2 linked regions of the Arabidopsis thaliana genome follow. The protein of the gene in region 1 interacts with the protein of each later gene in a pairwise test. Each region holds a gene or a part of one and is shown on either strand. Other genes may lie near its edges.

Evidence for each region.
Region 2: the proteins of AT3G13950 (region 1) and AT3G11530 interact in a protein complementation assay, tested with the Arabidopsis thaliana proteins (one large-scale study listed by BioGRID).

Annotation. Positions count from the first base shown.
Region 1 is NC_003074.8:4,602,118-4,606,080, reverse strand, and holds AT3G13950 (ankyrin), read right to left. Parts: upstream 2,197-3,963; 5' UTR 1,933-2,196; coding exon 1,562-1,932; intron 1,139-1,561; coding exon 886-1,138; 3' UTR 568-885; downstream 1-567. Other genes in the region: AT3G13940 (DNA binding / DNA-directed RNA polymerase), read left to right, coding at 3,669-3,963.
Region 2 is NC_003074.8:3,627,877-3,632,255, reverse strand, and holds AT3G11530 (Vacuolar protein sorting 55 (VPS55) family protein), read left to right. Parts: upstream 1-1,719; 5' UTR 1,720-2,246; intron 2,247-2,351; 5' UTR 2,352-2,370; coding exon 2,371-2,403; exon of another isoform or gene 2,404-3,067; coding exon 3,068-3,192; intron 3,193-3,271; coding exon 3,272-3,455; 3' UTR 3,456-3,726; downstream 3,727-4,379.

The sequences.
Region 1 (3,963 bases):
GCAGATATTATAGGGCAAGAGACCTACCTCCTTTTCTCCCTTTGACTCACTTTTCCCTATTTCTTTTTTCAGTTTCATGACATTTACAATTGACATGTTAATACTATAGCCTATAGTCTATACCCTAACCATCTTTTAGGCCTCGAGGGTTCTTTACGATATTCTTCGTTTTATATAAGGGAATATAATACTTTTGCTTCATCATCCATCCAATCACATAAAAATCAACGATTTACGAATATATATATGAAACATTGCTATATTCCACGTTTTTTTATTTACTATATATTCTACGTCAAAAGAATTATCTTGTTTTTTTTTTGAGATGATTATATCTTCTTTTTTTTGAGAAAATATTTATTGCTTTGTTCCGGATATATTAATCTCTCCCATTAACGAGATGCTCACAATCGTTTTTTGTAATGTTTCATTCTAGTGTGCACCGCATTCTAGTTTGTTTTCTTTGTTCTTTTTTTTTGTATTTATTTATTACTGTGTTATACGAGCGATTTGGACTAAGATCATGGTAAGAATAACTATTGGCAAAAAAAAAAATTACCACGATCGTTCACCAATCACGATTCACAAGGCGATATTGCCACGATTCACATTATTTGAACATACAATTTTTAATCAAACGAATTTATTAAACAGTACAAACCCACGCAATTAATTAACTTTACAACAAACCAACCCACACAATTGCCAAGATTCACATAATCAAATGCATTTATTAAACAGTTTAAAAATAACCCATAGAATTAATAAACGTTATAACAATGTCCTTGGGAGACTTTTATTCTAGTATCACTTTCCTACATCAAGTTCCAAATTCATACGTGGGTTCGAAACACGGGTTCCTTCTCTTCTTAATGGGACCTCTCCCTAATGGAACCGTCGCCGACGTGGACAACAACAACAACACATGAAACAAATAAGCCAACCTATAAATCGAACAAGTTGGATTAAAAGTATCAAAACAGGAAATACAACCCAAAATCCCACATAAATCAATAGTATATAACGAATTATTTGATCGTCGGATTGAACCAGCACGATGGCGAAGAAGAACGCCGCTGATATACAAAGAACCGCCACCACCATAAATGTTCCGAGGATAGCCATTATCATCCGGTTCCTTCATATACACAATTATATCATCATATAAGTGTCTTTTAGTTTATTCTAATACCAAACAATTTCTCTACTTATTCTGAGTGTACCAAAATTCCATTAGATAACTATGATATATGTCATCAACTTTCCATAGTTTTAAAGTCCAATCAAATAGCGATCGAATTAGTATTTTTACCAATCAGACCAGTTTTGTTGAAATAGCTAATGTTAAGTCAACCATTGTGCCGACATAGTTGGTATACTTAAAACCGAAAGTCAACACCAAGATCTCAATTTAGATGACTATTTTTAGTTCTCAGTAATATCTTGTCAAACACAAGCGTTACATAAAAATTCCAGACTTAACATACAAACAAGTTATAATAATTTACATACTAAGTAGCCTTGTTATATGGAGTTGCACATATAGTTTATTTATTGGTACCTTAGTCGTATACCGCTGATGACAAGGAGAATGAGACTCATTGAGGTAGAAAATGACACTGTACTGCTAATAATCATCCCAATATACGCTATACGCTTTGAACTCTCATATTCCAATACCGCAGTTCCCGCTCTCCCCTTACAAAACGGTGCGGTTCCGGTTTGATTTCCGAAAGAACAATTGTCACTTTGCCATACGCCACCGGGAGGATTAACCATAACTTGAAAGCTCATACCGGCTATAACCGTAGCTGTAACCATAAGATTCCCTCTAGTTTTCTCTAACCAATCGCCTTGACGTTTTAGATACTTTACGAACCACTCTGATGATGATTCTTCGTATCGATGACCTTCTTGACCGTTGATCTCCATGATTTGAAGCGATGAATGCTTTACAAAAGAGTTATAATTCTTAAAATTTATATATGTAACTTCTCTCTTTGTCGAGATTATAAAGGAAAAAAAAGAACGAGTCTTTTTAAAAAAGGAAAGGGAGATAGAAATTTCTGGTTTGATCAGCAAAAGTCTAATTTGAAACCATTTGTTTGTTGATCACGTACGGGAATTAAAAACCTACTCTTTGAGAACTATATGATTCTGATCAAGTCAGTCAACGATAGCGACATTAGGGAAGAAGCGTCGTCGTTATTTTTTATATATTTCTAACTAAATAGAGTTTTTGAGGTTTATAGGAGAATCGCAAGACCTCAAATTTGACTCTGGGAGATCATATCTCTCATTTGTGTCACTCTTCTTTCAACGTGTCTTTTCTTTCATAGTACTACATTTGTCATCTTGTCATTGTATCTAATGACTTATACGACTTGTGGTATAAAAAGATAAAGATATATAGCGGATAAAGAACAGTCGTTGCATACCATTCAACAAACCAAAATTAAGTTGAAGTTGAACATTAGTTAATTGCGGAGAAAAAAACTAGAACATTAATTAATTGCGCAACAGTGAACAGTGACATTAGTACATATAAAATCTTCAACATAATGATAAATTAAGCTACTAACAAGTAACAGAGTCATGATCTAGTGGTTGAATATTGGCAATGTTAATTAATCGATTGTATAGATTAATTTTCATCTATCTATCCACAACGCTAGCTCTTTTATGTTCAACTATTACAAAAGTTGTAAGTGGCATAAGAAAACTGTGGTCGTACATCAACATCACACACCACGATTTACTCTTTTCTTAAATTTTTTATTAGATATACATACCTGCAAATGTTACTCATATAATATTACACAAATATTTGATACGTCAGCTTAAATATGTATCTGGGTAAGGTGATCAGGTGATTATCAAAATAAAATAAAATAGTACAGCATTACTTGTTTTGTTGCTAGGTAAGTTTGACGACGAATAAAAATATATGTATCCAAGTTCACCAAATCCTACGCTAGCTAGTTGGACGACAAGACTTTATTTTGGACTCGAAAAAAAGAGAGAGAACGTGTTAAAGAACCCTAATCAAAGAATAACCGATCCGATAGTAGTCCACTGTCAAAAGTGAAAACTAGTTGTGATGATATCAGTCCAATATACACTTAACCTGAAATATCTATATTAAAAACGAACTAAGAATTTGGTGTACTTGGATCAAAATTTTACATTTGTTCCAGCATAGAAACTTGGTCTAGAAATGATGAAAAAATTAGAAGATAATAGAATCCATAGTTAAAAAAAACTTAAAAGAAGGTTATGTGGCCAAAGCTTTAAAGAAGAGTTTAGATACTTTGGAGGTAGATCAATGTAAATTGGGATCTTTGCAAACAGCGTGTGTTTGTTTTCTAAGTTTCAGGCGAACTACGTGTCGTTTTAGCTAAGAGAAAAAGCCAGGGTTTAGATTCCGTAGTCCGTAGACGTCGTTATAACGGTGTAGATCTTTCTAAACAAATTAAAAGTTTGGGGTCAAAAAAAAAAACTGTGAAGATTTCTTTATCGACTCGGACAAACAACAAGGGTCTGTTATGTAATAAATTCCCGAAACATAACCAAATTAGGGTTTAAGCATTTAGTGAGTTTCCAGTAAACCCTTCTCTGAATCGCTGCCGCTTCTTCGATAGACTAAAAGAATCCAAACCTCAGTAGCCATGGAAGGCGAAGAGAAGAATGATTATAGAAACGAGGAAGAAGATTTCAATACACCACAACAACTACAAAAGAAGCAAAGGAAAGGGAAAAAAATAGCAACGGAAACAGAGGATGAAAACGAAGAAGACAAGAGAGTTACTCTCAAAGTCACGCAAGTCGCCGAGAGACCCGATAGAATCTCTCCGATCGTCGCCTATTTCTCTACAGGATACGATCCTTGTAAAGTAGATCCAAAAACAGGCAAGAGAGTTCATGAAACTCCCAAGGTTACTGTTTACAAGCATAAGGATGATT
Region 2 (4,379 bases), 970 kb from region 1:
CTCTATTATAAGCTCGAGGACAAATGAAAGAGGTACGAGGTCGGTCCGAGCCAGTGGACAGAGGCAACGACTCAGATTAGCTCTCCTCGCTTTTCCTTTTTTTTTCTTTCCACAGCTCAGATTGTTATTTTATTTTATTAGAAACGGACAAAATAGATAACAGTAATCATTTTGCAAAAATAAAAAGGAACAAGGTAAATTAATTAGTCATTGTAATAAAGAAACAAAAATCTCCAGATATGCAAGAAAATATATGTTTTATGTTTTATTTCATACAAAATCATCTGAATTATGTCCAGCCATTTAGGAGATTTGATGTTTTTTTCATGGACTATGAAACTAGTCTAGAGTTATAAAACCCTCTTGTCTAAAAAAAAAAAAACGTTATAACTTCTCTAGTTCTATTGAAGCCAGATTGATTGATGAGTTATGTTATTATTGACATATCTATCATTTACTCAATACACTCACACGTAGAAAAAAGTTGACTTCGAAAATATTGGTTAAAAGAAACTACAAAATTTGTTTTACTCACAAAGTTGATAATGTCCAAAACATAATTTTTCACGATTGTTTTATTTGGACAAAATAAAAATCATTGTTCTACCGAAAAATAAATAAATAAATTCATTCTCATTGTCTTAATTTTTTTACGAAATTATGAAGTGGGAAATGGATCAAGTAAGTTTCACAAGTGGGAGTCCAATAGTTAGGATCATGTCGGCCTCGTCCACTTGCGTTCTCCTTGATTTAACGATCACTTGCTTGTCTCAGGTCTCAACTAGTGGTGACGTCAATTCATTTGGTATTCATTGGACTATACACTTTTTTTCATTGTCAAATAATTGGACTATGCTACTTAAATAATATACAGCTACTCAGAGAGACTTTTACTCCAAAACGAAAGAGCCCCTTTTAAACAACACCTTATTATTTGGAGCAAAACAAAAAACAACACCTTATTTAAGTAAGAAATTAGTAATGGTACATCACAATGGCATCATAATGAACAACTGATAAACACTTTTGAATCGTCACCAGCAGCAGCATGTCATAAACGCACCAACCATGATAGCATAGATCGTGAGGTGCGCAATACCATTACTTCTCGAAGACATAGAAAGCATTGGAAACAACTTATGCTACTTTGGATCCATTAATCTCTCCTGATTAACTACTCTTTATCTTAACCTTGTTTTTATTTCTTTTTGCCAAGGTTAATTTAATTTAGGTAATACGTCTCTTGTAATACCAAACATTTCATTTCTAATGATATTTACATTCTTAGCAAAAAAAAGAAAAAAAAAACAAACAATGATAGCATAGATAGTGTATTATGATGGAGATTTACGTACTCTAACTAAAATTATGGAAACGAATCAACTCAACTTATGGTTGCTTAATAGTTTAATAATACTTTTTCGTTGATGCAGTTTCAATCATAGTTGATTGCATTTAAATAACAAAAAATGAAAAGAAAAAAATATTTAGCATTTCACATATTTTGATGATTGGTATGAACTTTGGTTAAAAATTTCAGTTATAAAATCATTTTTATTACGTATGATTTAGGAATGAGTTTTATGTGGTCCTTGCAACCCAAATTTTGATCGTAATTTTTTTTTCATGTCATTTAGTTTGTGATATTTTAAAATCGACTACTAGCTGTATTATCAAAACCACAATCCTGGAAACCAATTATAACCAAAATAAACCAACCAAACCAAAAAGATGAAATCGATGAACGGTGAGAAAACCAATTTTGACCGGTCACTAATTTTCATTTTGCTCTCAAATCGCGACTCCTCTCTGGGCTCTCTCCTTCTGTATCTCTCTAAGGGGAACAACGAAATCATCACCTTCTCTTTTATCGTCACCGGCGATCATTCAAGACTCGATCTCCGGTAATCAGAACATTTTCATTCGCCGACATGGCGATGACCATCGAAGGTAATCAATCACCTATCTTCCAACTGTATCATTTCCCGACGGAATCGAATCAGATTCAAGTCGATTTTCCCCTTTTACTTTTCTCCCTTGCTCTATGTTCATATATTCCATACGTATTAGAGATTGGTATTGATTTACTCAGATTATAGTTATTTTGTGCTTCGTGAATTGTTTAATTTTGTGAGCTAGGGTTTCTGGGTTTTGCATTGTTCAAACTCACTCATTGTTTGCTCTTTTCTAAATTTTTTCCGATGCTGATTTCTTCTGGAATGCTCAAATTGCTTTCTTGGTACAGTGTAAGTTCTAAGACTTGATGCTCTTTAATTACCCTTGTTGTTACATCTGCCAGTGTATTCTCGTGTGTCGTGATCTTACAGATTTTATTTTTCTTGATTGCACAGACTTGCTGGACTTGCTTTCATGTTTTCATCTAGTATCCTCCTACAGATCCTGGTACGTTTCTGAATATAGCTATCTGCTTATAACCCTTGAAGCTTGATCATAAGATCATGACTTAGTAGCTTTAAATCCTGCAAGAGATGGTTAGCTAGTTCTGCTGTTAGGTTGTGAGCTGAGTATACTGGTCTCCTTTTGTACCCTTGTTGATGTAGCAAACAGAGTTGTGAGTCTTTTGGCCCGTTTTACTGGGAGAGATACTCTGTGAAGTAAAGTTTGTTACATTCAAACCTTCTTTCATATTTGAAGTTTTGAGCTTTACTCTCTTGTAGTATGTTGACTAGCGATCTCTGGATCCCAAAAACCAAAATTACACTTAGAATTCTTATCCTTACAACACTATTTGACCGGAGCATATGGTAAGCTGGGGTCCTTAGCCGACCTCAATGTCTAACTTGTTAATTGACTTAGACTTTCTGAACAACTTCTATAAACTCAAGCATCTTCTCTCCTCAGCTTATATCAGGTCCTTGTATAGGTATAGTTTTTTTTTTTTTTTGCACTTCGATTAGAAGAAGAAAGGATCATCTGATTTACAAATCTGATACGTTTCCCATATTTTGTGATTTCCTTTGGTATACCTGGTTATACCATGCAATGAGTAACACGTGTTATAGTCATCTGGGAGATATAGTGATAACTATTTGTTCATAATGGTCAGGCATGCGCGATATATGGTAACTGGTGGCCAATGCTATCAGCACTCATGTATGTAGTGGTGCCTATGCCTTGTATGTTCTTTGGAGGAGGCTCAACCCAATTCCTTATTAGTCGGGACGGTGGAGGGTTAGTTACTAGAGACTTTATTGCTTCTTTGAGTTAAACGAAAGATCGATTACCAAATTGGCTCGTCCATAAAACGCAGGTGGATAGACGCAGCGAAGTTCTTGACCGGAGCATCGACCGTGGGAAGCCTTGCTATCCCAATCATCTTAAGGCACGCACAGATGATCGAGACAGGTGCAATGCTCATAGAGTTCACATCATTCTTCATATTCATTTGCACTGTCATGTGTTTTCACCGGGCTAGTCTCGATGATGACTGGTAACGTAGATGTTGCTGCTCGTGAATTACTAATTGGATTCGTATGAGAAAGAGAGTGTGAAGAAAAGATGAGGTTACTATGAGTGGTTAAGAAAGTTGTGTTCTTCTCCCTCTTTTTGTAAAGCTTTGTATCACTCAATGTTTGTAAAAAGTTTTATTCATCACTGTGAATCTTTTCCTGAAACTAAGTGCCAAAATATTTTGTTTCGCATGTTTAGGAAAAAGTTTAATTCATCATTGTGAATGTTCCCTAATCCCTAGATTAGCTTCGAGAGATTAACAAAGAACGGTTCAACTGTAACACGTGGTCATGAAATAATGTCCGAAGGCCCTTCAGATAATAAAAGCCCATGAACTTCATAAGGGTAGAAGCGTAATTTTAAAAGAGACCCCTTTCATATATATATCCTTGCGATTATTATTAGCCGTCATCGTCTAGGGTTGGTTGTTCTGCAATTTAGTTTTTTTTTTTTGTGTTTTTTATAATCTGCAGCATCGTTTCTTGTAATCTGAGGAATTGTTTTTCAGACTGCACGATCGTTTAATTTTGTTACGTTGGTTGTTTCTTTGAAGTGAAAAACGGCGAGGGATGATGATTCAATTAGATGTGCGAATGGTTTCATCATGAGCTCAAAAACTTTATTTGGCATTTTATAATCTGACTTCGCCGTCAACTCTTTTTTCTGTAATTTGGAGGAATGGTAAATGGATGATGATTCAATTAGATGTGCGAATGGTTTCATCATGACCTCAAAAACTCTATTTGGCAATTTATCTGACATCTCCCATTTCTCTATGTTCAATCCAATATATCTCCTTTATGTGGTTTTAACTCGATATTGTTTTATTGTCTGCGAAATGTTTGATAATGATGAGTTAACTTTTATAGAGTGTTACATAATTATTTTACTTATTCATATTGTAGTTA